4 linked regions of the Coturnix japonica genome follow. The protein of the gene in region 3 purifies or fractionates together with the protein of the main gene of each other region. This does not show direct contact. Links are inferred from orthologs where the notes say so. Each region holds a gene or a part of one and is shown on either strand. Other genes may lie near its edges.

The links.
Region 1: the proteins of RSRP1 (region 3) and CPSF6 purify together in Homo sapiens (affinity purification with mass spectrometry; 3 studies listed by BioGRID and IntAct, with this or other methods). This does not show direct contact. The link is inferred for Coturnix japonica from reciprocal best matches to the Homo sapiens genes RSRP1 and CPSF6.
Region 2: the proteins of RSRP1 (region 3) and C1QBP purify together in Homo sapiens (affinity purification with mass spectrometry; 3 studies listed by BioGRID and IntAct, counting the BioPlex papers as one, with this or other methods). This does not show direct contact. The link is inferred for Coturnix japonica from reciprocal best matches to the Homo sapiens genes RSRP1 and C1QBP.
Region 4: the proteins of RSRP1 (region 3) and PSME3 purify together in Homo sapiens (affinity purification with mass spectrometry; 3 studies listed by BioGRID and IntAct, counting the BioPlex papers as one, with this or other methods). This does not show direct contact. The link is inferred for Coturnix japonica from reciprocal best matches to the Homo sapiens genes RSRP1 and PSME3.

Annotation. Positions count from the first base shown.
Region 1 is NC_029516.1:32,112,622-32,119,509, reverse strand, and holds part of CPSF6 (cleavage and polyadenylation specificity factor subunit 6), read right to left. Parts: intron 6,222-6,888; coding exon 6,118-6,221; intron 5,192-6,117; coding exon 5,046-5,191; intron 4,530-5,045; coding exon 4,356-4,529; intron 3,990-4,355; coding exon 3,485-3,989; intron 2,252-3,484; coding exon 2,159-2,251; intron 1,201-2,158; coding exon 1,085-1,200; intron 768-1,084; coding exon 614-767; intron 1-613. UniProt on the Homo sapiens protein: Component of the cleavage factor Im (CFIm) complex that functions as an activator of the pre-mRNA 3'-end cleavage and polyadenylation processing required for the maturation of pre-mRNA into functional mRNAs.
Region 2 is NC_029534.1:2,452,685-2,459,984, reverse strand, and holds C1QBP (complement component 1 Q subcomponent-binding protein, mitochondrial), read right to left. Parts: upstream 4,362-7,300; 5' UTR 4,314-4,361; coding exon 4,103-4,313; intron 4,013-4,102; coding exon 3,862-4,012; intron 3,781-3,861; coding exon 3,690-3,780; intron 3,490-3,689; coding exon 3,394-3,489; intron 3,155-3,393; coding exon 3,032-3,154; intron 2,823-3,031; coding exon 2,673-2,822; 3' UTR 2,411-2,672; downstream 1-2,410. Other genes in the region: RPAIN (RPA-interacting protein), read left to right, coding at 1-57, 309-372, 819-933, 1,069-1,132, 1,210-1,344, 1,563-1,592; ATP-dependent RNA helicase DHX33, read right to left, coding at 4,977-5,285, 5,963-6,049, 6,703-6,906.
Region 3 is NC_029538.1:2,151,649-2,159,137, reverse strand, and holds the start of RSRP1 (arginine/serine-rich protein 1), read right to left. Parts: upstream 4,395-7,489; 5' UTR 4,245-4,394; coding exon 4,156-4,244; intron 4,011-4,155; coding exon 3,955-4,010; intron 2,865-3,954; coding exon 2,241-2,864; intron 1,925-2,240; coding exon 1,770-1,924; intron 872-1,769; exon of another isoform or gene 461-871; coding exon 380-460; intron 1-379. Other genes in the region: TMEM50A (transmembrane protein 50A), read left to right, coding at 4,738-4,830, 6,082-6,194, 6,992-7,059, 7,255-7,347.
Region 4 is NC_029542.1:4,665,376-4,672,719, reverse strand, and holds the end of PSME3 (proteasome activator complex subunit 3), read right to left. Parts: intron 6,984-7,344; coding exon 6,879-6,983; intron 6,578-6,878; coding exon 6,529-6,577; intron 5,908-6,528; coding exon 5,795-5,907; intron 5,613-5,794; coding exon 5,544-5,612; intron 5,095-5,543; coding exon 5,027-5,094; intron 4,883-5,026; coding exon 4,828-4,882; intron 4,565-4,827; coding exon 4,478-4,564; intron 3,971-4,477; coding exon 3,890-3,970; 3' UTR 2,215-3,889; downstream 1-2,214. UniProt on the Homo sapiens protein: Subunit of the 11S REG-gamma (also called PA28-gamma) proteasome regulator, a doughnut-shaped homoheptamer which associates with the proteasome. 11S REG-gamma activates the trypsin-like catalytic subunit of the proteasome but inhibits the chymotrypsin-like and postglutamyl-preferring (PGPH) subunits.

The sequences.
Region 1 (6,888 bases), on a different chromosome or scaffold from region 3:
AGCATCAGCTACTCTACTCCTACAATATCCAAATAAATCAGAAGTTAGAGGTTCAGTGGCTGTTGCAACTCTGAAAGGGCTGTAAATAATCAGTAAGTAGAAGACTGTGCATTTTAAACCTATTCTCAGTTTTTTGACTGCATGAGAAGGAATAAGAGGAAAAATCATTCCGGCCATCCTCTTTCCCTTGCCAAGTGTGACAGGTGAGGAGAAAGTTACTATGAAGCAAAATGAAACTGATAATAAATAACCTCTGACTTAATTTTCAATAGAAAATAGTGATTAAAATTATATGTTGTATATAGTATACCAGACATATGACATCTGAATTGATGAAGATAATTCAATTCTGAAGTTCATTTTTTTGCAATACTACCATATAGAAAAGAACACAAACTACAATAAGTTAAAAAGCTAGCTGGATCCACTTTAAAAACAAGAGTCAATTAACAGATTATTTAGACTCAAAAGTTATATTTGTTTCTCTCACAAACTTCTTGTGCAGCTGAGCAAATCACTAAGGTTCTCACATGACTTAGCTCCTCCTCTGTACACTTGTCTTGCCCCACACCTTCCCTTTCACAGAAGGGCAAATGGAAGAGGAAAGTTTTACCTGGATCCAGAACCATAGGACTTGGATTCGATTCCATGAAGGCAGTCTTGAAGAGAGCTAATAAGTACTTTACAACGATCATCAGCAGATACTTTGGACTGTTTAATTAAGGAAATTGCAGTTACCAGGGTCTCTATAGCACTTCCATAGTCCCCTGAAAACAATATAAAATCACGAGAAAATTATGCCAATTAATACAAAGGTTTTTATCTGTAATAATAATACAATTCGGAATGCTTTCTTTCAATAGCCTCCCAAATCATTTACTAGAGGACTAAACATTATAACACTGCCCAGATCAGTACTCAGAAGGCATTCCCAAACGTCAGCTGGGTTACAGTACAAAAAGAGTCATAGGTCGTACCTAAATTCAGCATTCTAGAAGGAAGTGGCATGAAGGCTGCAGGTTTCCTAACACAATAACTAGAAACTCTTTTTGCTTAGGCAGAATAGAAAGCAAGTTTTACTAACCAGCACTGGCATCTGATACAGCTCTTGAAATGGCACTGCTCGAGATTGCCCTATTTCTGTTCATGATTTCTTCAAATTCTGCTTCACTTAGAGGTGTCCTTGCAGCATCCATCTCTCTGTAAGCAAGAAAAATTAGTATTTACAAGGTTAAGAAAACCTTAACAGAATATCATTGCAATTTTAACAATCCAAGTTTGCAACTTTAAGCAAAATGACAAACAGAAAAGAAAGCAGGATCTGGGTTTGTGTTAAGGACCATGTTACAGTATAAAATCCTGAAAGCTTGAAAATAATAAGTTAAAAAAAAAATTATCACATCTGCTAAATGAGTAGTTTTTCTTGTTCTACCAATCTAGTTTGAAGATTCAGCAGCACTTAAACCGTGCTTTACAAATATTTAACATTTTCATAAAATCCTTCAAGGTATCTAAGCAGACATTACACCAGCTGAATGGATGCAGAGATACACATACACGGGTAATGCAACTTTCAGCAAAATTAGAAATCTCCTTAAGACAGTCTTGGAAATAGAACTATATGATCCTGTTTCCCAGATTCTTAACTAAGACCAGAGGGCTGTAATTTTTAAAAAGCAAATAAAGTCTGTCATCATTAAAACACTCAATTTTCTGAATGACACCAACATTTTACAGTTAATTCTAGGTTTTGTTTCTGGTCAAGTTCAAGGTGCACCAATTTCATCTCCCAATCACAGTAAGGAGGAAGCAATTAAAATGAATACTTGCACTCACTATACTTTTTAACTCTGACTATTAGCTATCCTATACATTGATTCTAAAGTAACAAAATTTACTCATACAAAAAATTACCCACAAGTTTTGCAGTGTTTTATTAGCCAGTCTCTGAATCATATAGAATATCTGAAGAAATGCATTAGAGACAAAAGCTGAGACTGTCAAATTGACCCACTGCTTGATATTTCTAAAACAGTGTTAGTTCCTCTGGTAGAAAGAAAACGCAGAATAACAAGCAATACTATCCTCTTAAGTGCAAGAAGTGGAACAAGATCCTATAGCCAGTTTAGCATAAGAGGAAATGTCTAAAAATTCATACCTCCCTGAGTTTTGAGTATTATTTTTCGTGTGCCTCCCATAGAATGGAATATGTAATTTTTCTCTTATGGACATGTTATTTCCAGTGAAACGCCTATGATATATAATTAATGACAATTTAAATAGTTATGGATGATAGTCTTAACATTTTTATTGAAAATAGTGGACAGAAGTTATTCTGTCCTATCCCCATTCCTTCCCTCCCCAGCCATTCTGTAAACTGCAGACAACTTAGATTTTGTCCATCAAAAAACACAAAGCACCTTATTATATCTCAGGCAATTAAGCCAAATGCTTGAATTTCTACAACTTCTATAGGAACACAGTATGTACAATTGTTGGGGTTTTTTTCAACTTTGTGCTCACATGTAAAAGGAAGAATCAAAGTGCCTTTGCAGGAAACACTTTAGGCAAGAGAAGACTCTCTCAACAATATCAGTAAAATCACAAATGAAAAATTCACACGTAACTGCGTAGAAGGTATCTCTCTTAAAATTAGACCCCAAAAGTTCTAAGGAATGGTGAAAGTATGTTGAAAATGAAGACAACAGCGGCATGACAGATGCTTGAAAGCACAAATGCAAAAGCTGTTTCAAACAAGATGTGAAACGCTTCACTAGTCAAGTCAGAGGGACTCAAAAACCCCGACCCAGACTGGATTAACTACAGAAAAGGCCACTGCTACAAACACAGAAAGACTGTACAAAATTACAAGTAGCTTAACAGGAAAGCAAAACAAAAGTCTTGCAATAAATTCCCACTCAGCTTTTGAGACAAAAGCTAACTTTTAATTGAACCCTTAAGAAAAAAGGAACAAGCCGAACTGCTAGAAGATGAAAATGACATGAGCTTGGTGTGGCACCATCCTCAACACATGCACATATTCAAAGAGAACACCAGAGCATTTTACAATGACAGCTTGCAAAGCAAGATGGCAAAGGGACAAGTGAGAATTTCAAGTTATGACAGCAGCACAACCAGAAGCTACTGGCAGGAAGTGATATAAGTTAGCATGTAGAACACACAGAATGATGATACTGTGAACAATGTACACAAACAGTTCAAAGCCGAAAAGGGAAAGCAAGATTACTAGCAATGCATTTTAAGGTTTTCTTACTGCTACAAACACACTTATGAGTTCATTCACTAAGAAGCGAACGGGCAAATCTCATGATTGCAGGGATCCCCTCCAGCTTTGCTGTTTTGTTTTGCTTTTTCCCCCTTGTTTACTTTTTCTAACATTTGCATTAAAAAGTTTTTAAAAAATCCTGTGTTTCCTACAAGGAATAAAGTCTGCCATACGGCATATAACACCAAAAATACTCACCTTCCAGGTGGCCCATAGTCACCTCTGTCATATGGTGGAGGTCGGCCATATGGATCTGTTGGAGGTGGGCCACGGCTGTCTGAAGTAGGTATGCCACTATTGGCAGGTGGGGGGAAGAAAGCTGGGTTCACATGTGGTGCAGGAGGTGGAGCACCTGGAGGTGGCCCGGGGAGATGTGGAGGAGGAGCGAGAGTCAGGGGTGGCCCGAGAGGGCCGGGTGGACGAGGGGGAAATGGACCCGGAGGTGGAGGTGGACCCTGCTGAGGTGGTGGCGGACCCGGTGGCGGCCCATAGCCTGGAACTGGAGGTGGAGGGCCTGGAGGAAGTGGCCCAAGAGGAGGCTGACCAAAAGGCTGTCCTGGAAACAGAACTGGTGGTGGTGGGCGGTCACCACGATTAGGAGGTCCAGCTAAAGGAGGTGGGAGGACCTGACCAGGAGGTGGGGGGCCTGGTGGGCCTGGTGGACCAGGAGGGCCTAAGGGTGGACGTGGGGGAGTTTGTCCAGCTACAAAAAAATAAATAAATAAAAAGTTAATAAACATGAAGAAATAAAAGAGTCACAAAAATAATTAAGATCTTGTCCTTTTTTTTTTTTTTTTTTCCTCAGACAAAAAGCCTTCACTGAACAATTCACATCTTGCACAACACATGCAGAGCTCCACTTTTGGGTCCAGTATCTTAGATATATTTATAACTGGTTATCTATACTGAAAGAGAACATTAACCTGAAAACAGAACCAACCACTTCAAGTTTTTGGTAATTCTATGTGCCTGCTTACTGACCTTAATTTTTGTAATTCCCAAATAAGCATACTGCATTAATAAAAGAAAATAAAAATTAAACTGAAACCCTCCACATTCAGTATTTTACCTGGGAACGGTGGTGGTGGCCCTCCTGGCCCTGCTGGTCCAGGGAATCTGTCTCCACCTGGAATGGCACCTGGGAAACGGCCTCGCCCTCTATTACTAGGTGGAAATGCTGCTCTTGAGCTTCCTCCTGGAGGACCAGCTTTACCTTCCCCAGACATCTGGCCAGACTGTGTGGCTGCAGTGGAAAAATGTCATTATGTAAATCAAAATAGTTTAAAGCTTTTCAATTCTTCTAAAGTTTTATGTAGCACTAAAGCATCACCTTGATCCCCAGTACCACAAAGGAAAAAACACTTTGCTAAGATTCAGCAGCATTTCAGTATCCCCACACCACAAGAATGGAAGTGTAGAAACTCAGTCCATTAAGTTAGTCTAATCTGCCTACAAATGCTGCACCTCTACTTCTCCAATCTTAAGAAGAGTCTTACAAAGCTGCATAATAAGCACTTCCAGCAATTTCTCCTATTAAAACCACAGACATAAAAACACATTGAATTAACTGTTTTGTTTTCAGTTTTTAAGGGGATCTTCTACTTAATTTTTTTAAAACAAAGCTGCAACTTCATTCACTTAATACTTATATAGAAATCTTTAACTGTGCAGAAATTATCAGATACTGAGAGAAGAACTGCAGGACAACTTCCGGAATAAACTTCCAATCTTTCCAAGATGGCACAAGAGAGAGACTTACTTTTCCTTGACTGCATTTCAAACTGACTCAGAAATTGTTTATTACAAGGAGTCACAACAGGATTCTGCCCATGCAGTTCTCTTTTAGGCAACAAATCCATCAACTTTTTGGAGGATGCTTCCGATCCCACACCCACAAGGGCAAACCTGAAAGGAAGAAAAAAAAACAGTTACACTGCAGTTTTTTTGTTTCCTGGATATCCTGATGCCTCATGAATAAACACTTAACACAGTGAGCAAAAGAATGCTTGAAAAGAAAATACAGAATCTTCCACAAATCTTAGAGATCTTTTCTTTTAGAGATAGATAAAGTAATTCACTCTAGGACACAGATGAAAAACCACAATGTAAGTCCAAGATGCAGCAGTGTAACAAAGGTAGCTTTCTGACACAGCATCAATATGCTATCTATTGATTATTATAACCAAGTTGTTATTAAGAATTCAATGTGTTCTCGTGGCTACTCTCATTAGTAATGATGAGAGATGAAGACAAAATTATGTTAGGAAGATTAGACTGTCAGCAAGGAACCAGCTCAAGTGCTTGCTTTCAGCAGTTAATGGAAAAACAAGCATTTAAAATCATTCAATAACAGGGATAGGATAGGAAAAATTTATATTATGAACAACATACATCACCACAACACTAACTGAAACTTAGGAATAGAGTCTTCACATATATCACAGAATCATAGAATGGCCTGGGTTGAAAAAGACCACAATGATCAACTCATTTCAACCCCCTGCTATGTGCAGGGTCCCAGACCAGGCTGCCCAGAGCCACATCCAGCCTGGCCTTGAATGCCTCCAGGGATGGGGCATCCACAGCCTCCTTCAACAACCTGTTCCAGTGTAAATGCCAATAAAATTTAACTCATTAAGAAGTATGAAGTAATATTCCCATAAAATTTATGCCTGGAATTTAATTAGCATGAATTAATATACCCAATCATTGTTGGATATTGATAAACAGAGGCCATAAGTTCACATACTGACAGAATAATTGGAACTCTTTCCCCACTTAGACCCTCCTAAACTTCAGTCGACTTACAGAAAAAGCAGAAGAGATCTTACCCTTTAGATTGGCCATTAGCACGGTTTTCAAAAAACTTTATCTCCAAAATATCATTTACCCCTAATGAATGAACCGCTTCAGTTAAGTCTTCATCTGTCGTCCACTGAAAAATATAATATTCAACTATGAAATCTTACCTAAAACGACAGCACTTTTCCACGCTCTTACTTCGAGGTATAAGTGGTGAAGAGGAATGCTTTATACAAGTTGTTGGTATTTTCTGACTCTCAGAGGACCTTCACCTACACTATACAATGCCCAGAAAACTCATTTTTTTAAGTACTCACTTCCTCACAGGCCATGCTGTCCAGGCCCCACAGCTCCACACAGTAAACCAGCTCATGGGTACTGAAAAAATTCCTGAGTAACTTTCTGAAAGCGCTTTTCCCAAGAGTATTAAGCCTAAACTGAACTATTGAAATAACTGCCACATTTTTTTACATCCTTTTTTTCCCCTCCCATTGATTCTATTTCCAAACCAAAAATCCATTTTAAGACCACATTAGCACATATGCTCACTCCAACAGCTTTAACTAGTGAGAGCCTAGTAAACCACATAATATTTTGCACAAAAAATAACAATATTTTCAGATTAAAAATGAGAAACTAGCACAGAAAACATAGTAACAACTATTCCATCTTAACCAGACCTCCTTCCTGCAACTTTCTATTAGCTCCTATCTAACATTCAACAATTTCACACATACTCGGAAGCATACAAGACATTTATACCCATAGTTTTCTTCCTCTTCCTGTAACTCCATCACCAC
Region 2 (7,300 bases), on a different chromosome or scaffold from region 3:
CCGGAGGTGATGGAGGGAGAGTGGAGGAACATGAGAGGGAACGGGGAGCGGCAGCAGGTCGGTACGAGCGGCCGGAGGGATGTTGTATAGGGGGGGATGGGAATTAAAGGCCGAACCTCGGCCGGGCTGTGCTGGGTGCTGTGTGTTGTGTTGTGTGTTGTGATGTGTGTTGTGTGTTGTGTTGTGTGTTGTGTGCTGTGCTCTGGGTGCTGGGTGCCTTTACAGAGCACCTCTGTGTGTTAACAAGCAGCAGAACGAGCTGTGGTGCCTCTTGTCACACTGTCCCAACACAACACGGTGACTTTCAGATGCCGGAGGACCCGGACGAGCTGGCGGTGCTGGATGAGATCGAGCAGGAGCTGATCCTGCAAGGTAACTCAGTGCGTCCCCTGGTTGCTACATGATAGCAGGGAAAACAGCCTGATCTCTGCAGCCTCTGATGCACTGAGAGCATCCTGAGAGCTCCAGGAGTTTAAGTGGCATCTTAAGCTCTATATGGAGCTACACAAGGCAGCACTGCTTGAGAGTTGTAGGAGCCCACATCAATAAACTCAGAACACTGAATTGTTGGCTGGGAAGACTTACAGTCACCCCCCTGAGGCTGCATGAAGGCTGTAGGAAGAAGCGGGTTAATAGTGATGATTTTCTTAAGCACAGAAATCTGATTGGAAATAAGAATCTCAGCAATAAGGGGCTGCCCCAACCTGCATCCCCACAGCAGCTCCATGTGTATCAGCATTGAAGTCGTTAACAGGTGTCTGTTTTGTTGCTGTTCTGTTTTGGTTTTTGTTGGTCTTTTTTTGCCCCCCCGCCCCCAGAACAATTGGTTATAGAAGAGTACGAGCGAAGTCTGCGGTTTGATGAAGAATGCCTCAATGCAATCCTCGATGGCTTGGATGCCAGCAACAGAATCATCTGCCCAGTGTGCAGAAAGTAAGAATGAGATCCTCCACACTGCAGCAGTTTGGGTTTAGAACTGGGCAAAACAGCAAACAAAGAGAGTGGATTTCAAGCAGCTGGAAGAGCAGAGCTCTCGTTGTCAGGGCTCTCACTGTGTGTCTTTCCTAGGAACCATCTGACTGTGAGGAGCCACTCAGTTTTCTGCCAGTGTGGGTTGGATGTCCCTGCCCAGGTGAGCTGTGAGCGATACATGGTGAGGTCGATCTTATGAGTAAGATTTCTTCTTAACCCCCTTATTTTTCCCTCCAGGATATGACAGAAGAGAAGCTTCGGTCACTCCTAGAGAACACTATAACAGAGCACAGTCACAGGTGCCTTCACAATCCAGAGTTCACATTTACCAATGGGATGGAGGAGGAGGCCAGTCTGCTCATGACCTGTCCAGTGAGTCAGATTCCTGCTTGAATCCACCCCTGTTACATGGACAGAAGCCACAATTCCACCAATCCCATGGGTTTACATTCCTGTCTCTCCCTCACACCCTTTTGGAAGTGGTTTAATTTTGACCACCAGTATTGAAACAGCTGAATTTCACTGTACTATTATCTATCTTTTATGCGTTACTACAACTTGTCAGCTCAACTTAAGGTTTCCTTTTTAAGGTCTGTGACTTCTGGATGATTCTCCTCTAAGTTGCTTCAGCTGCTGCTTTTTTCTTCAGTGACTTTGAGACTAGAACTCAACCCAGAGCTGCTACTGTCTTCTAATGTCCATACACTTATGTGTCCTGTGTCATACATACTCCAAGGCAACGCTACTGCCTTACCCTGCACTTTTGATGGCACAGTCCATGTTTTTATAATAAATACTTCATCCTTCATATCATCTTCAACAACGTGTCAGTGATTTCACAGCTTGCTTTGGACTTCGTGTTTAACTTCAGGTCCATGACAGTGTTTTTAATGTATCCTTCTGTTCTAAAAGCAGGTTCCTCCTTACAATCTTACCCACTACACTCAGGACTATTAAGTATTGCCCTGGAATCAACAGGGAGGTTGATCAATAGTCACAAAGTATTCTGCCTCTTCTCGTTGTTCTGTCCTTGGCTGCCTTCAAGCTGAAATAAGAGGCAGCTCTTTAATGCATGGCTGCATGGTGCGGGAGCATCTCCTGCTCTGCCACTGGGGCTGACTCAGACCTTGAGGCATCACCTGGACGCAGCAGGTTGAGTAGAAGCCCAAATCTGCTGCTCTGCAATGCTGCTGATGTTCAGCATCCACAGGACTTGAATTACTGCAAGGAAAGAGCTCCAACTTGTCTGCAGTATTTTTCTAGAGCAGATGCGTTGATACTAACAGGTACAGATGGACTAGATTGGGCTAGAATAGCCCTGGAGAAAAACTGGCCTAACACTGCCCAGCTCTGCAGGCAGCTGCATTAACTTCTCAGGTCAGGGAACACACAGATATCCCTTATGGCAACTGATCAACATGAAGAAAAAAACAACTACTTTTCAGGGAGTTTTGAACACATTTTATTATTCACCTTCATTCCTAATGGTACAAAATGCAGCAGGGGGAGGCAGGTCCAGACAGTCCTGTTTGAGAACCTGAGCTGGGCTGCAACGTAGCATAAATACAAGTGAGGCCCCTCACTGTCCCGTGATGCTCAATTCCCAATTCAGTTACTCCATCTCTGTTGTGAAGATACGTTGTGGTTCTGCTGGTGGAGCACTGCTGTGTAATGCCCACACTGAACGCTGCTTTCCTTCCCTACTGACATTTAACAAAGCTTTTAAGGTCTTCAAGGAATTTAATGTACTCCTGATGCTCCAGCGCAGTGCTGAGCTCAATTAACTCATCAGCAAACGTGTTATCCACTCCTCGGTCAGCCAGGAAATCCATTAAGTGATCATACAGAGCCTGCAACAAGGAACAGAAAACAGCCTTAGCAGAGCACAGCTTCAAATCCTACTTAACTACTGCAATACAATTAGGCTTGTGGGCTCCCCCCTTGTTCCTCATAGAGCTGGTGCTCCTGCTTGGTGCCAATAGCTGCCATATCACCTCCAACAGGGTGAGCAAATGATTCATGATGGAATAGGAGTACAATGTAAATCAGCAGCACTTACCCAGTCGAGGGAATCCGTATTGAGGGTGTAGTTGGTGTCCTTCCAATCTGATTCCCCGGTGGGCTGGAAGCTGACCTCCCTAATGGTGAAGATGTCACTTTCTTCCTCTCCCTCGTGGCCAACCTGAAATAGGAAATGAGGCACAGGATGTATTAGCTGTAATTAGAGGGAACCATCAGCTGCTTCATCCTGCAGGTGGGAACACAACCCCCTTAATGCCACACATTGAGCTGATCAGAAGGTCAGGACATGAGCAGAAAGAAACCCATCCCATCAGTTTCCTTACAGAGATAAAACCTGTGTGAGGAGAAAAGAAGGAGGCAGCATTTTGTGCAGACACAGGAACCCAGAGCACAGCTCACCTCATCCTCGGGGTAATGGCAGTCAAGCACGAGGGTCTGCTTTGTATCATCCTTAATGACTTCCACAACAAAGTTTGGAGTCGATGTGATATCGGGCTGAAGGAGAGAAGCAGCCGATCAGTGCTGAGGGCTGAGCAGGAGCCAGCACAGCCACGAGGTGCCCGCAGTGCTCAGCAGGGGGTGGGATGGTCCATGGGGGTCTCCCAGGGCCGTCCTGCTCTGTGTGTTCCCACTCCCAAAATCAGACTGAGCACACGGCGGCCCTTTGTGGTCCCCTGGCTCTGTGCTGTGCTCACCTCCTCCTGCTCCTCGTGTTTCTGCTCCTCCGGCGCGTCCTCATCCACAGCGGGCGGGATGCTGTTGTTGATGTTGAAGGTAACCGTGATCCTGCACAAAGGACACGAGTTAAACCATCACAGCCGGGAAGGCCCCGCTCGCATCGCTCCCGTTCGTTATTTCATTGCTCACTTTTCCCCGGCGACTTTGCGCACCAGCCTCGCCTCGGTGCCGTGCACCTCCAGCTCCCACCCGCCCGACACTTTGGGCAGCGCTTTGTGCTTCTGGATCTTCCGCTCCTCCTGGATCTCATCCGTCAGGAACTGAGCGAACGCTTTGTCCCCTGCGGGGAGAGAGAAACCGCTCAGCACCGGCACCACCCCCCGCATCCACCCCCACCTCCATCACCACGTGCGGCTCCGTCCCGACTCACCCTCCGTGTGCAGCCCGCCGCAGCCGCAGGACACGCCGCCCGCAGTTCCCCGGCGCGGTCTGAGCAGCGCCGCCCTCCAGCCAACAACAACATCGCTCCGCTGCCACAGGGAACGAGCCGGGAGCGGCTGCGGGACGGACCAGAGCGAGCGGAGCGGGGACAGAGCGGGGCGGAACGAGGCGGCGGAACGAAGGGCTCGAGCGAGCAGCATGGCGAGAAACGGGACGAGGAGGAGGAGAATGACCCGGACGGGATCGGGGCGCTTCCGGAGCTCCGCCCCCGGTAATAAGGGGAGGGAACGAGATACAACGCGGAGTGACCTTGGGGGAGAGACCAGAAGGTTCCAAAGGAGGAGCCGGGCGGGGGGAGCCGCGCTGAGCAGCGCTCCGAGCGGACAGATGAGGCACCTCCATTCTGACAGTGAAACAGCACTTTGATTTTGCTCCTTGTATGTAGAAATTTATTTATTTGTCTTTATTTTCCATCGGTAAAACCTGCCCGGAACACAAACTGAACCATCAACAAATAGAGAGTTTGCTGCAGGAGCTGCTGGGCTCGTTTCCTTCCAGCCCCATCCATTACAGCTCAATGTTAAACACCAGCACAAAGCAGGTCCCGTTTTACACAGCAGCTCTTAACACCACGATGGTTCAAAGCCACAGGTTGCCATGAGTGCTGCCTCTCACAGAGAAGCCATTTTCCTCCCAGTTTTACACCTGTTTGCGATGCAAAACCCCGCTGTCCCTGCACAGATCACAGCCCAGCCCTGCACTGAGCCCTGCACTGAGCCCTGCATTGAGCCCTGCACCGAGCCCTGCATTGAGCCCTGCACTGAGCCCTGCACTGAGCCCTGTATTGAGCCCTGCAGCCCCACTCAGTTCTTGGCTGCTCTGAGTTTCCTGCGGAAATAGTCAGGTGCTGCATCATACAACCAGTCCGCGTCCACCACGCACAGGTCCCGCATGTAGCACTTGTTGGTGTGCAGCAGCCCGTTGTAAACCACGCAGCAGGGTTTGCAGTGGAACAGCACGGACGAGGGGTGGATGGCCACGGGCTGGTGGGAGCTGACGGTGCTGTAGGTGCCGTCCGGCTGCAGCTCGGCCGCGTTCATGAAGAGGCTGTGAGCCAAACAGCGGCGGATGTTGGAGGTGTCGGAGCGGGACGACTCCATGGGCAGCGATAACTGCAGGGACACAGACACGAGGCAGCAGGTCACAGCGTGCAGCACAGACACGGGCATCCCAACACATCTAACACTGCGAGCACAGCTGAGCCAGGAAGCACAGAGCACTTCCCTGCACTCCCTTTGACAGCCTCAATCCATAAGACAGGGACCATAAGCCCTACAGCACTGAAGCACTGCCCCAGCTCCACTTGCAGGCTCTAAGAATCCCTCCTGCTTGTGTGAAGGCAGAGACGGGCTGTGCCTGGGTTGGATCCATGCCCTGCAGGGAAACCCGGCACACTCCTAAAGCTCCAATGGCACTGAGCCCATCCTACACACCCTCCATCATCAGGGGCCTGGATGAGCTGGAGGCCACAGCAGCAGGTGTCTGCATCTCTGCATCACTGCAATGCAACACAACACTCACTGCCATTTGTTATTTGTTCCAATTGTATCAACCTGCGCTTGTCTGAAGGTGGGCAGCTGTTCCCACAGTGTTCTCATGCTGAAGAACAAGTGTGTGCACACCAGTGGGGGAACAGCCCCCTGCAATGGGCTGCTGAGAGCAGGCAAGGTTATGTCCTAAATGCAGCTGGCCTGGATAACACATTTTCTTGCTCCTTGATTTCTTGCAAAGGAAATAAATGAGGGGAGAAACAGAAGAAATAGAGAAATGCAGTACGACAACTCATTACCTTTACACAAATGTCCCTGAGCTGAGCTCTCACGTCTGACACGAGCATCATGTTCCTGCCGTTGACAAAGTTCTCCTTGCACCATTCCTGCAGCACAGATACCAGCAGTTACAAGGGGCTGCTCCTTCAGGAAGCACAGCTGGATGCCAGGCAAAGGAGCATCCTCCAAACACACTCTGCTACCCCTCATTACTCCCCCTCTCCTCCCTCCCACCAACAAACCACCTGCTGTTCTCCTCCCACTCTGAGCTGCTCTGAAGGTCACTGCCAGCTGCACAACAGTCCTTGATGTCCCACAGGTGGCAAAAGCAAGTTACATGAGAGGAACAAATGTTGCAGAGAATGGGATACGCTACTCTATAAATCAACTGAAGGAATCCATAGAGAAGCATAAGTAAAGTCTGGTTTTAAACATGCTCCTGAATGGGACACGTGCAGATATTTAGCATCAAGTCCCAGCACCCTCTCACTGCTGCATTTCCAGCTGCAGCCAGGCAGGGAAGAGACGTGGCTCTGATTCCAGAGCTGGTCTCACACAACTTTGGTGACTGGGTCTGCCAGCACCTTCTGGGGAAACCTCTGGCACTGCAACAGCTTTCTCTGTTACCCCTCTGTAAAGCAGGAGCAAGATCTCTGTTCTCACAGGTGCTTTGGTAGGATGCAGGATGCACCAACTGCAAAGGATGCAGCCGCCCCTGCTGTGAGTCAGAAGGATTCCTGGAATCCTCAGAGCATCCCACCTTGTTGCCACTGACGTTTTTGAAGGCTCTGTACACATTGAGCAGGGTGAGGTGATCCCCCTCACTGGAGATAAATTTCTTCCTGACAGATTGCACTTCATCCCGCCGGGCTGGGGGGTTGTAAAGGACACTGTCCACTGAGAGCAGCGATACAATGGTCAGAATCTCTTCTGTGCAATGGAACTTTGGGGACAGGAGGATGGTCTGTAAAGAAGAAAATGGATTTCTGGTTGAGCAAATACAGTCCAGGGGGGAAGGGCTCCCTGTGCAACTTCACCAGGTGCTGATTAAGTCAATTTCATACACATTTGGGCTTAAGGACAACTGTAAGTCCTCCTATAGAACTACTGAGCACCTTTAAGAGGATTCACTTCAGATACAACACAAATATGGTGCCCAAACTCCATTCCTGTATCAAATACATCCCAAAACTGTCAAATCGTGCTACAGACAGTCCCAGAAATGGCAGGAGAATCAACCTGGTTTCAGCTTCAGATGTGCCAGAGGAAATAAAGCAACTTTTAAACATCCCCTTTAAATGAACAAATGATGGGCAAACCAGCACAGCTGCTGTAAAGAAAGCTGTGCTTCATTAATG
Region 3 (7,489 bases):
GACATACAAAGACCCAACAACTTTAAGAGGCTTGTGTTGACAAGACACTTAACTAACCCAGAATGCTGAATAACCACCCCACCCCTGCATTACTCAAACACAACCAAAGACGCAACTTCAAGTTGCAGCATGAAATACCAGAAACAAAAAGCTCACAGCACTGAGCGTTATGTGCAGAAACATCTGCATTTAAACACTACTGTAGTACATTAAAACAGCACTGTACTGCTGAAGAACTGATCCAGCTCCTTCAGGAAAGGAACTGCAAAGCCCTCCAAGCGTTACCATTGCTAAGATGTTTGATTTGGCAATCATTGCTGTGGAGACTGATACAAGAGGGATTAATTATGGGATTTCCATCTCCGGAAAGCACACTCACATTAGGGCTGAACGAGATGCTCCGTGCGGTTGCTCTCTCCATTCCACTTTTGGTTATGACTTCTGTCAGTCCTTTGGGTTGCTAGAGAAAAGCACACAGCACTTCAGTGGGAGGATACAACACCCTCTGTAGGTTAAGGCAGCCTTTACAAGTTAATAACTTCCCAGTACAGTTGTTTCAGATATTTACAACAAAAGTAGCCAGAAGCTACCAAATGTGCCAATAGATCAGCATTGAGTTCAATGTGAAAACCAGTATTTTTAATCAAGGTCCTTGTGCCGATTCAAGGACCTGCTATGACCTGATATCCATGCCCCACTTACAGTTTTAAAGAGTATTCAAATGATTCAAAGCATGGAATGCCATACAATGAAATGTAGTGTCAGAATAAGTCGCATGAAGTTCTGCACGTTAATCCTGCAGAGCTTTGGATAACAACAATAAACTTATCTGCAAGTGATGCAGGCCTCTTCTTCTGTACTCTCTCAACATCTGGAATATATTGCATATATTATGAAAGGGATGCCTGTACCATTTGTCTAAAACCTTTAGCAAATTTACTTCCATTTGAAATAGCAGCATTGGATAGATGTAAAGTTACTGCAGTTTTGCATTTACTATCAATCAGATTAACAAAGCATTAACACAGCCAAACTACAGCTCAGTTTAAGATGCTGAAGTTTCTCCCTCCCTTAAATTCACAGTAGCTACAGCCCACAAGACCCTTAATTACCAACAGATTTTCTTCATCATGTCTGGAACCATAGTCATGATTTCTATAAGACAGAAATAAAGCATGTAAAATGCATTGTGTGTTCGGGTATGTAACTTCTGGGAAATAGTATATTACATATGAAAAGCTTTTAACTGTTAGAAAAGGTAGTAAAATTAACCTTAACAAGAAAAAAAATAACAGGTTTGCTAAGGAGTCTCCTTGTTTTAGATCAAGAAAAAAATAGTTTCTGTAATGAGCAATACAATGCTACCATTGAGAAGCTGCAAGAACTACAATTCTCTCCCCTTCCTAATGTTGTAACACCAAGGAAAGCCTGCATGCAGCAGAGCCACAGCACAGCTTGGGTTGGAAGGGACCTTAAAGATCATCCAGCTCCAACCCCAGCCACAGGCTGGTTGCCACTGGGACCCCATCCAGCCCGGCCCTGAATCCACTGCCCTTCAGAATCCAGTGTACTTGCAGTGAAAAGCAAAGTCTACAGTGGTTTCTAAAGCACTTTTTAGCATTCTGGTCAACCTCAGTTCTCTGTTCAGGAGTTTCAACTTTTAATTAACAAACTCCTCAATAAGGAAAAAAGAATCGTGGCACATCCATGCACACCACAAGTCTTTATGTGCTGACCTTTTCATTCCCAACACTCCAGTTCGTACTTACCTCATCCGACTCCCCAGAGTCTTCATGTTCTTTCTTAATACTGCTGGTCTCCTTAGAAGCAGTGCGGATCTTCAAGCTAGCAGGCAAGACTATATTGTCTGTTCCCAGAGCTTTTGCAGCATTAGCCTTTGCAATTTCCAGAAGCTCCCTCTTTTCTAAAAGAAGACATAATTGATTTTTAACATGAGATACGTATCCTTCCAATACAACCCTAAGAACTGCAGCCAAACCACATCTGCACTGAAACATTAACTCTGATGGATTTTCATCTCAACTTGAGAGATACAGCTTCAGTTGAAATACAAAGATATGCTCTCAACTGCTGTTTATACCCCCCTTCTTAATATATTTTTATAGATGTAGCAAGATTCTTTGCAACCTCCTTTTATCAGATAGGCTCTATAAAGTAACTACAATTTATCTAGTCAATAAAAGACCCGTTTCCAATGCTCACACCCAAAGTCCAAGTACCTTTCTCACTCAAGTGCAGAGGTGACCTACTCCGAGACCTGGTTCGTGACCTGCTCCTCCAGCTCCTGTAAGTCTCAGGGTACACTGTCCGCCCAAACCCATAGTTTCTTCGGCCTCTGGAACGTGACCTGCTTCTTGAATAGGACCTTCTGTAATATGATCTTCCACGGGACCACGACCTACTGCGTGATCTGTACCTCGGAGGAGAGCGGTGGTACCTCCTGTAGTGCCTGGAGTGGTACCTTCCTCTGTACCTCCTGTAGCCACGCGATCTTGAGCGGCTTCTTGAATAGGAACGGGAGCATCTTCTGTACCTTCGGGAACTGTATCTTCGATCCCTAGACCTGGATCTGGACCGACTCCAGCTCCTGGAGGAAGCTGAAGATGACGTACTCGAACTGGACTGGGAGCTGCAGGAAGATCGACTGGATGACCTTGATGATGACCTGCTGCAGCTTCTTTTGGATCTCAAACAATTCTCTCTTTTCTTTGGTGAATTCAGACTCAAATCATCCATGCAGTTTGCCATATCACTGCTCTTACGAGCCACTACTTCTTCCTTGCAGGTACTTTCAGAGCCCAGTTCTGTTTTGCTTGTTGTTCTGCAGTATCCAGTCTCTGTTCCTGGGTAAAGAAGACAGAAGCAAATGAAGACACGAATCATTTACAGACAGCAATTGACATACACACCATCAATTATTATGGCACAACACACAAACAAGAAGTTCAAGGACAATTCAACGCTGACAATCTTTCCTGACAATTATGAGCATGTTTTATGCCTGACAATTATGAGCAGCATCATTTCCTGTCCTGTGGTCAGACCTCTGGGACAGGCTGCTCAGGAAGTGGTGAAGAAATGTTTAGATCTTGTGCTGAAGAACGTTGTTTAGTGAGGAAATACTGGTGGTAGGACGGCTGGACTGGATGATCTTAGAGGTCTCTTCCAACCTTGGTCATTCTATGGTTCTATATGAAAGTTTAAGAATGCGTTAGTGTAAGCCACTAGTTTTGAAAGGTTTGCATTGGCTTTAATGCCCCTCACACAACTTTTGTGAAGATGAAATTTACTGCTATTTCCTTACCCCAAACAAAGCTTTCAAGGTACTCAAGTTCCCATCTGTTTTAAGCGCAGACTACTGCACCAGGAGGGGCAAAACAAACATCTACTTTCAAGGTCAGAATAGACATCATGCTTTACATCCACAGCTTTATAATAGGCCAATGATCACAACTAAATTATGCCACTAAACTACACCAGTAGAATCTTACATGTGTAGTATAAGACACAGATCCGGGATCATAGGGTAAAATTCGTTAAGGGAACACATCAAAACAGCTTCTCTGCCCAGTGGTCCTATATTATAAGTACTGTGTTAACACTCTGCTTCTCAAGGCTTGTCTGCTGAACCACTGAGCTCAGACTCACTGCTTACTATCAATAAGAGCTACCGAGCCAGCTCTAAGAGCTGATTAAGCTCCTCAAACAGCTGCAGGAAGTTCCACCCATCACCTCCAAGCAGAGACCCAAGGTCACAGGCACTGCACAGCCCATGGGAACACCCGATATACCCCTCCCACCCCCCCACATACAGCTCAGAGGTCAGATATACCCCTCCCACCCACCTCCATACAGCTCAGAGGCCAGATATACCCCTTCCACCCCCCCACATCCAGCTCGGAGGCCAGGGGGGCTTCTGGTGAGGCCGCTTACCGCTGGGGGCCGCCGGACATCCCCGTTGTTGACTCCCATGGGTCCCTATGGCGCTCCTGCAATAACACAGCGGTAAATGAGGTGCTGCCATAGCACAGCACCAGCCCACAGCCAACAATACAATACAATACACCCCACCTCCCACCCGGCCCATCTCCCCCCTCAGCCCTAGGCCGCACCGCTCCCCCCGCTCCTCCTCACCCGCTGCACGCAGCCGCTCCCCCCCCACACGGATCCTGCTCCGACGGTGACGCCCGAGGGGACAACCCGGCTTCGTGTGTTACACCCATAACGAACGGCCGGGCCCAGACAACGCGCCGCGATCCGAACCGCCGGAGCAACGAGCGGACACAACCGACCCCACCGCGAGCAGAGCGCGGACTGAGAGCGGCCGCGAACCTTCCAGAACGTCACTCCCCGCTTACGTAACGGAGCGGACTGCGCATGCGCGGGCTTTGTGCACATGCGCACTGCCTGCACTCACCCTACTCCCCCCTCCCTTTCCGTACTACAGCGCATGCGCAGAAGAACCCATTCGCCGCCCTCTACGCGCCTGCGCGCTGGAGGCGGGGAGCTGCTGTTGCGTGCTGCGCATGCGCACTGAGCGCGTCGGTGGAGCCGTGAGGTGAGCGGCGGGTCGGGCCGTGTTCTGTGTGAGGACAATATAATGCGGCTTTTTAGAGCGATAATTGCTGTGGTGGGTTATTTACTGTGTGAGAAACGCGGTTGTGGCGATTTGATTCGTTTTATTTTGTTTTCTCGCCTTCTTCAGAGCGTTGAAAGATGTCCGGTTTCCTGGAGGGCCTGAGGTGTTCCGAGTGTGTGGACTGGGGGGAGAAGCGGAACACCATCGCGTCTGTGGCCGCTGGAGTGCTGGTGTGTGAGGAAACGGGGTATAAGGAGGCTCTATTTCGCCATTATAGGGACAGATAGACCCCCACCCAGCCCCTCTGTGCTCTGTGCTGGTGTGTGAGGAAACGGCGTCAAAGGAGGCTCCATTAAGCTGTTATGGAGACAGATAGACACCCACCCAGCCCCTCTGTGCAGCCAGAGTGCTGGTGTGTGAGGAAATGGGATCAAAGGAGGCTCCATTAAGCTGTTATGGGGACAGATAGATCCCCATCCAGCCCCTCTATGCTCTGTGCAGGAAACGGGTGTGTGAGGAAACAGGATCAAAGGAGGCTCCATTAAGCTATTATAGGGACAGATAGACCCCCACACCTCCAGCCCCTCTGTGCTCTGTGCAGCCGGAGCGCTGGTGTGTGAGGAAACGGGCTCAAAGGAGGCTCCATGAAGCCATTATAGGAACAGATAGACCTCCCCCCCCCCCCCCCCCCCAGCCCCTCTATGCTCTGTGCATCCCCCCCCCCTGCTCTATACAGCACCCACAGAAGGCAATTGGTGCTGCCCACCCCACTGCAGCCATAGGGAGTGTGGGGTGGATGTGACTGACAGAGCTCAGTGTATTGGTGTTCGCAGGGGGCAGTGCTGGGGCTGGTCCTGTTCAACAGTTTCACTTTATTAAAGGGATAGTGCTGATGATGTTAAGCTGGGAGGGGTGGCTGACACACCTGAAGGCTGTGCTGCCTTTCAGTAAGACTTGGACAAGCTGAAGAGCTGGGCAGAGAGGTGTTTAACAAGAGCAAGTGATGACTATTGCACCTGGGGGGCAATGGAATAACTACATGCATCCATACAGGTTGGTGGTTGACCTGCTGGGGAGGAGCTCTGTAATGAAGGACCTGGTGGGCCATAAGCCAGCAGTGTGCCCTGGTGGCCAAGAAGGCCAATGGCATCTTGGGGTGCATTAAAAAGAGTGGCCAGCAGGGCAAGGGAGGTGATCCTACCCCTCTCTCCTTCAGTACTGTATCCAGTTCTGGGCTCCCCAATACAAAAAAAGGCAGGGATCTACTGGAGAGAGTCCATCAGAGGTTCACAGAGATGATAAAGGGCTCTTAGATGTCCCTTCCAGCCCCTACAATTCTTGGAGCAGCTAAATCATGGGGTTTGTGTTTAGCATGTACCTGACTAAGCTGATGGTAGAGGCAGCTGTGCTGTTTGTTTGGGTTTGTTTGGTCAAACCTTTTCTATCTGTGTTTTAAACTATTGTACTTTTGCTTTTAATAGTTTTTTACAGGTTGGTGGATAATCATAGATGCAGCTGTGAAGTACCCTACCATGGAAGACTTCAACCATTCGTATCATGCCTGTGGGGTTATAGCCACCATTGCATTCCTAATGTAAGTGTAATGTCCTGATCAGAGCTGTGCACACCTGGAACTTCTGTGAAATTCAGAATTAAAATAAATAACGTAGGCTTTAAATTGGGAGATAAGTGAAAATAACAAATCAGGGTCTGAGTGTTGCTAATATCACAAAATGGTTTGGGTTAAAGGGATTTTAATCATCACCAAGTCCAACCCCCCCACACCATAAGCTGGGATGCTCTGACCAGGCTGCTTAGGGCCCCATGCAGTTTTGCCTTGGATACTGGCACTGTGCAGCCACAGCTCTGGGTGCCATGGCCTCATTGCCCTCTAAGTGATAACATTTCTTCCTAATTATCTCATCCAAATCTCTCCTTTTAGCTTCAAACCATTCTGTCCTATTCTGTCCTAAAACCTTTTGTCCTGTTCCTACACTGAAACCTTCTTCCCTTCTTATGGTGGGGGTCCCAGAGCTGAATGCTGCACTGCACTGTGGTCTCATGAGAGCAGAGCAGAGGGGGAGAACCGCCTCCCTTGAGCTGCTGGTCATGCTTTGTGTGATGCAGCCTAGGATCATGTGCCTTACATTTGCCTGTGGTAAGGAGCCATTGAAAATGGAGTAGCATATAAATCAAAGCATTAAAAGTGGAAGAAAAGCAGAGCAACGTGTTTAAGTTTTAGCATGTTTCCCATTTTGAAAAAATAAAATACACGTAAGAAATGCATTATGTCTCAATTTGTTCCTAAGGAATTTCCCTTACTGTTCTATAAACATTTTCCTTCTTGCTTTATTAATCTTTACCCTTTTTCATCCTGTTTTGCACGTTCAGGATCAACGCAGTTTCTAATGGACAAGTGAGGGGTGACAGTTACAGCGAAGGCTGCCTGGGACAAACAGGTGAGTGCTGTGCACACACAAATACCTGCAGTCAGTCACCCTTGGACGAGCTATAACAGCTGCACCAGTGCATGCACTGATTTATGTGCATGGCTCAAGTGGGTCACATAAAGTGCTCTGGAACTGAAGCATCTTGAAAGTTACTGGTATCTGTACACAGGAATGGGCATAGAACACCCACGTCTTCTTTTTAAGGTGCTCGGATCTGGCTCTTCATTGGCTTTATGCTGATGTTTGGTTCACTGATTGCTTCAATGTGGATTCTTTTTGGAGGATACGTCGTTAAAGGTAAGATACAGCATGAAGCATGGCCTGACCCTTTCTAATTCTTCCCTATCCGTTATTCTTTTCTTTCTTCTAACGTATGGAGGATTTTAACACCCCATTGCTGTCATTTAAGCTCTTGTCAGTCTGTTTTGTAGGGCACAGA
Region 4 (7,344 bases), on a different chromosome or scaffold from region 3:
TCACATTTGGGTCTGCAGAGTAAACCTGTGCTGCCTCTGTCCTGCAACAGGATACATGCCATGGATGTCATGTTCAATATCATGTTACTTAACGATACCCATTTCTGCTGTACTTTTCAAGCTGAAGACTTTTACAGTTTGTAACAAGAATCTGCCTGTACTTTCTGGGAGCTCCGTTCCAGAACAAATACAAGGACTAAATCCATTGCTATCCTGCAGCAGACATTTCAGGAAGCAGAGCAATTATTTGAACCTGAAGAGATGAGAAACCAATGTCAACATGCAAGTGATAATACATGTTCAGGGATCCTTAAGGATAACATGTACCACAGGAACAGCGTCTTCTCCAAAAGGACCCTGAAGCAACTTAAAGCCAGCCCAGAATTTTGAAGATGACGCATCTCACTAATAGCAGCATGACTTGTTCATGAGCTGCTCGGTACACAAAACTCTGCCCACAACATTTCCCCAGTCTGATTAGCCCATGACTCTTCCATACCTATCATGGAGAATTCACATCATACCAGCTTATTTTGGCTTACACGGATGCTTTTAAGCACTGCTTGTCAGTGCAACATGTCAAGGAAAGTGCCAGTATCTCCCAAACAAAACACAGTGGCTGGGAGTTTGCTGTGCTTTGCTCACATAGAAAGGTAGAGCTGGCAAAAATAGTCCCTGGAATTTATAGAAACCAAAGCACAGACAGGCCGTCTTTTGTGTCAGTGACTGCCAAGCAGCTGGTAAAGAGTATAAACATGCAAACACACAATAAAAATTCTTGCCAGCCTTTCTGACATGGGTACACCTCAAGCAGACCCCAACCTGAACTTCAAACTCTAGAAAACTCCCACTCTCCCAACGTGCACATTCAGCTTGTGTAAAACAGACTGCTGGAAATTGCTTGACACTTACTCATGCTGGCTGCGTTTCTGGCAAGTGTTTTTGTCTGAACACAACTGCTGTGCTCTTCTTCTTCCAAAGTTCTAACCTCCTCTGCAAACACAAGCAGGGGTGTCCCAAGAAGCTGTGAATTAGAGCCCTGATAGCTGACACTTCTCTGGGAAAGCAGAGCAGAAACCACCATGCCAAAGGGTGAGGATCACAGACAATAAACCCTCCCCTGCTCCTGTGCATGAAACATGCTCCTCACCAACACCTGTCAGCACAGCAGTCCTGGACGCTCCATCCTTCCACAGGACTGTTGTGTAGGGCTGCTGGGGGCTCCCTTTCTCCTGGCCATATCAAGGTAGACCCCTTCTGCCATACAGCACTGAGCAGTGCCAACAGCAGACTTTCCAGCAATAGCTCCAGCCTCCTCAGCCCCAGGGACCTGTGCTGTCATTTCCTTACCCATCTTCACCAAGAGGTGTGGGCACCATCAGTATTTTCCCACTCCACAGGAAGCACCTCGCAGCCAATGGCCCAGCAGGAGGCAGAATGCAGCTGAGCAGCAGCTGCCGCTTGTGCTTCTTCTTGGTGGCTGAAGACTTTTGAGGACAGGTTGGCCAGGTCTCACCCGGCCTCCCAGCACTTCTCAGGCTGGATCACAGCCCCCACCTAGTGGCAACCAAGCTGTAAGAGACACAGCCTCCCTGTCACAGAGCAGAACAGGCTGGACACCAGCAGCTCCCAGACAGGGTGCTGGGGAATGAATGGCACTTGGCTGAACACCGCTGAGCAGGTCCCTGCAGCCCAGGCTGCATGCCACATGTGCTGAGGAACAGGAATGAGAACAAAAGCACGCCTCTGGGTAACGCTGAGGATGCTTTAGCCCATGTCCCCTTTGTACTGCATGCACAGTAACATCAAGAGAGTAATGGACCATGCACTGAATACACGTGTCAGGTACAACATTCAGATGCATGTCCTATGACACTGCACACATCTGCTCTGCACAGATGCAAGAGCAGCCGTGGAGTGGGTTGCAGCTCTTAGAACACCATCATGCAAATCAGTTGTACCTGAGTGAGCCAAGATGGCCTGAGTACAACACAAAAGGCAAGAACAGGGCAGATCTCATCAAATTCAAGCCCTTGTGCTTAATATAAAGTATGCTGAAGGAACAGAAACAATCTACAAAGCAGCACACACATAGCAGTATCAAGTCAAAAAGAATGAGGAGAACGAATGGAAGGAACCACTGGATGTGTGAAATGCACGACCGAGAACAGACACCAACACTGCAGAGCTCAGTATCACAGACAAGGGGCTGTCTTAAAAGAATTCAAAGTACCTTATTTTAATTTCTTGACATGGTAAAAGTTTACATACTTTCATCTGGCAAGGAGAGCTCAACAAATTAAAATAAATCAATACAAAGAAACACAAGGGGGAGTGCTGCTCCAGGACAGCAGCTACAACGCAGTTGGTTTGTTACAGAATATTTATTAGCGGGAAGACTAAGAGTTGACTTACTACAAACAACAACAGAAGAGTCTACAGCAAGGGCTGGTGGCCCTCCACACTCTGGGGAAATCCCTAGGAAACCAGCAAGAGACAACATGGCTCTTAGAGGTGGAAGCAGAAAAAAAATAGTTTTAAAAAAAAAAAAAAAGGAGAGAAATTTCATTCCATTTGTCACTGTTGTTACAATGAAGTTAACACAACTATTAAGGCTACTGCACAATAAGAATATATGGGTGTAACAACAAGACCTGGGAAACAGTGAGGTTCCAGAAATAAATGATTTAACATTCCCTGAATATGGGACTTAAGTAGAAATATTATAAATAAAAAATTTGGAGCCTGCAGCATTATGGGATCACTTCCCACACACAAAAACTGACGCAACACAACCAATCATTTCCAAAGGGGTTTGTAATGGACCATGAAATGTTCCAGCAGCTTAGAGGAGTCAATAGGCACACAAGGGTGCTCTTTTGCAGGGGAAAGAATACAAGGTTTGCAACGGTACCAGGTAGGAATTGGCCATCCTCACCCCAAGCACTATTGTCACAGCTGGCCTGCTGCGCCTGGACAGCAGGAAGCACTGCCAGGAGAAAGCAGGTTGCAGTCTGACCACACATGGAAGCTATCAGGAGTTTAGCATCACACCTCTGGCTCCTCCTTTCTCAGCCTGGGCAAAAGCAGCTCATACCAAGGAGGCATGAAGACTCCCATGAAGTTGGTTTTAACCAAGAAAGTGGCTCTAGTCAATTTGCAGACTGGAGCAGAAGCCATATGCGCTCACAACCAGCCAGTACAGCAATCAGCCCTAGTGACAAGCACAACCTTCAGCTCTGCATTGACCCGCTCAGAACCAAGGCAGAGACAGATGGGCCACGCTCTACTGAGTCAAAAAAGCCACAAAACGATTACAGGCCTCTCAGTGGCACTGCAACGTGGCTGTGGCCACCAACCCAGAAGGGGCAGGATCCTCTGTCTTTGCAAATAAGTCAGTGCAGAGCATAGGCAGAGGGGCTCAGCTGCAGCCAGCAGTGAAGAGAGCTGGCTTTCAGCCACTGCACCACCATCCAGGCTTAGTCTTGAGCTGAAGATGGTCTGCCCCATTCACAGAGACCACAGAGAAGTCTCCAGCCAAGAGATGGGACAAGACAAGGGCCTGATCTCTACTGTAGCTCCTACTCAGGTAGGAAGAAAGGCATGAAGGAATGTTCCTGCCTGGCTGGCGCTCTGCTCTCACTCTGCAGTAGCCTCTAGGGCATCCCAAAGCAGCAAGGCCTTTTTCTTTACCAGATATACTAGAGGGAGGGAGAGCTCCTGAGACCTGAATAAAACCAATCACAAAACTAGGTGATAATTTCTTTAGATTTTAACTAAGAATGCAAAACTATTTCCAGCCAGTTTCCCATCTCGATAGTCATGTAACAAACCAAGGCAATGACGGTCTTTAGTTGACTGAACAGTTCTCAAGTTCAAACGTTGACACTTAATAAAGGGTCTCAGCATTGCTGCTCCGAGGCCTCTTGATCTTCTCAATGTTTTTAAGGATCATGTCATGCAAAGTGACCTGCAAAAAGGGAGAACACAACTCAGAAATGAAGGGGGGATGTCACTTAGCATTCAGGTTTCACAACCACTGACTTGAACAGTTTCACAGCTCATCCTGGTACTACTTTCAACCCCTGCCTGCAATCACATTTCTGCTTAAAATAAGTGCTTTCTTCCGCAACACTTTAGAGAAGCTAATGTGTGCAATACAAAAAAGAGAAGACATCAAAAGAATGGTCTGTACTGCCTGAAGAATTTAGGATTGCAGCAGCGCTCCTAGAGCAGTGTACTGAATATTTTGCACTCAGCTCCCATGAATACTCAAGTTGGAAACATCCACATCTCTGGGAGATGGTGGGGAGCCAATAAACACTTAGCTCTTGTTAGAGCCAAAGCAGACTGGGGAAAAGATAGGCTTCTCTCCAGGACTAGCTGTAATCATAGGGAAAGAGGAGAGCAGTAGAAGGATCAAAAGGACTCTTTCTATTATGTGGGGAGCCAGTGAGAGCTCTGTTTTTTCACTTACATATTGATTCCTCAGCTCTGAAATGATCAGGCGCAGACTAATATACTCCTTCTCATCAATCTCTGTCACTGTGCGCCGGTAGTCCTCCTGCAGAAAACAGATGCATGGCTAAGAGGCCTGAGCTCAGGTGTGCTTGATACATGGTATCAACTGAAGGTCCTACCTTTTACAAAGGAATCCCCCCTTTCAGTTTCCTCTTCTCTAATGAAGATATTCTGCATATTCTTATATAGCCCCCCCTTTTCCCACAGGGCCCCTAGCTCAAAATTAAGACAGTGATGAAGTAGCCTGAAGAGTCCCAGAAAGCAACAGCATGTAAACTGTAAAGCACCACTTCCCCATTTACTTACCACATGAGGGTATTTAGCTATTTTGGAAACCAACTTGGCTCTTGTGATATAATATCTGTTAGGAAAATGGAGACTACAAATCAGACAAACAGTACCAAGATTCTTCCAGGCACAATCTGCCCCAGCAAAGCTGGAGGACCTTCCCCAAAAGGTTCCTTTTCCCAGCAGCACTCCCAGAAAGGGCTCTGTTCCTTCATACCTAGAAATCTGGTCCAGATAGGATGCTGCCTCACTCTCCACAGTTCGAAGTTCAGCAACTGTTTCCTCCTGCAAAGGAAGCCTTTTCATGATACTGAAACTGCCCATCGCCGCTCTAGAAGTACCAGGTCGTAGCAGTTCCATGTCAAGCTTAGATTTGGATCTTAAAACCTAAACCAACTCCACCACTGCAGACATTGGATACCATCAAATGATTTGGAAGAAACCTAAAGGTACATGCTCTTGGGGGCATAGTTCCCTGCCACAGTAGGGCATACAGCCTGTCAGTGGTTTACAGGCTGGTTCAGCCCGGTTCCGTAACTAGCAGGGCAGCAGTACACACAGACCCACACCCTGGGAAAGGGAAAAGGGAAAAAAGGGGAGAAGGGTAGAGAGATGGGCCTTAAAAGAAAACAGCAACAGTCTGATGAGAAACAAACTAATTTACTACATCAGATATCAAAATGCAAGATAACACACTATAATACAAGACCACAACATAGCCAACAATATCTTACCTGAATAGAAACACCAAAGTTGTTTCCATCTTCTATCCTGGGAATTAGAAGTTGCACCCACATTTTGACCTGCAATAGAAAGATCACTATATAGATCACTGTCAAGATTTTTACAGGATTCATACCACTGTCATTTATAAAATACAGAGGAACCTGCTCCTTTTCTCAGAGAACCTTCACACAAGCAAAGGAGCAAAAGTATTCTAGTGCCCCCATCTGCTCCAGAACTCAGGGCTGTGGCCCACACCCACCGTATTACACTTCTCGATAAGCAGCCTGATCTCTGGTTTCACTTTCTCAATGATGTCCACCAGCTGCTGGTTGCTCTTCAGCATCCCATTGGGCATCACAAATACTTTGGTACCTACAGTGGCAAAGAAGACAAATACATCAGCCCCACGTGGGAACAGGTACACCAGAAGATCAGACCAAATGTCCACCTGAGCATTATGTCTCCTACAAAGGCTAGCAGTGGACACTGAGCCAGGATACAGCTAACCTGTGAGGAAGGGGGAAATTGGGCATGGGATAGCCATGATTGCCACAGAGGAAAGAAGACAGAAAATACAGAGCTTAGATGAGAACTGGAGAGCTCCAGCCTGCTGAGCCTAGGTACAAGGATTTTCCTGACACACGTGTAAGAAATGATTCTGCCTCAGCTTAATCCAAAGCTTGAGGTCTTCCTCCAGATGTAAAAAGCTTTTAGAACTGATCCACAGGGAGGCCAGCTGCTCCTGTCAGCAGGCTAAGCCTAAGCAACTACTACTTATGTCGATCAGAGAAATCCAAATCCTGCTACTTCCAAGAGCTGGAACCTGACTCCTCCACAAGAGAATATCTGTAGGTCAGGCTCTGAGGCTGCAGGGACAGGTCTGCGTAAGCAGCAGATGCTGTCAGGACAGGGCAAGCGGGACTGAAGTCAACTCATTCTCTTAAGGCACGGTTCAAGGGGCAGGCAGCAACAAAGAGACTCGGGGACTCTTACCCTGAAAGGTCTCTTCACGGTCTTCCAGCTTCCTCTTTTTCATATTTGGCTAAAATATACAAAATGTTTTACTCACAAACTAGTCGCAAGCTATAAAACTGTTGCAGAGGAAGTAAGGATAACATCAGAGCCTCTGCTACTCTCCTGGTTTCTAACCATCCGTCTTTAAAAACAAAGGACCACTGTGAAGGACAGCATTACCCTCCAGCAGACTTCCCAAGATCGGGAGACCAATTCCTGAAAGCCTTTGGGAGGCTGTTGTTAACTAAGAATATCCTAATCCAACACAGAACAGGCCATGCAGTTTTAATTACCAGAAGCAGAGAGCTCGACCAAGAGAGTAAACTTACCCCATCCAGTCCATCATGGCTGTTTGTGAGAAGAATTGGGTCAGGCACTGGGAGGTTCATGTCTGAATGGATCTGAGTGAGATCATGAATATTCAGGATGGGCTCCTGGAAAATAATGCATACATGTGATTTAATTATGAAATAACAACTTCTGTCACAGCAAGCACAACAAGACGACAAAAGTTTTACATCTCCTCCTCATTCAACCACAAAAAAAAAATGAATACAAAAAAATATTCAGCAATAACAGGACTGTAGCAAGACCGCCCTCTGCCTGAGCACAGAGTACCAGCTCTAGATTATGATCAAAGCTATTGTCTGTCTGCAGTGCTGGGCACGCTGGAGTCCCATAGCATCAAGGACAGCCCAAAGCTACTGAATATGTAAGAATAGCAAATGTGTCGATCACATGAAGAAAACAGAAAAAGGAATCACTCCCTCTAGAGCCAGCAGCATTTCAGTACAT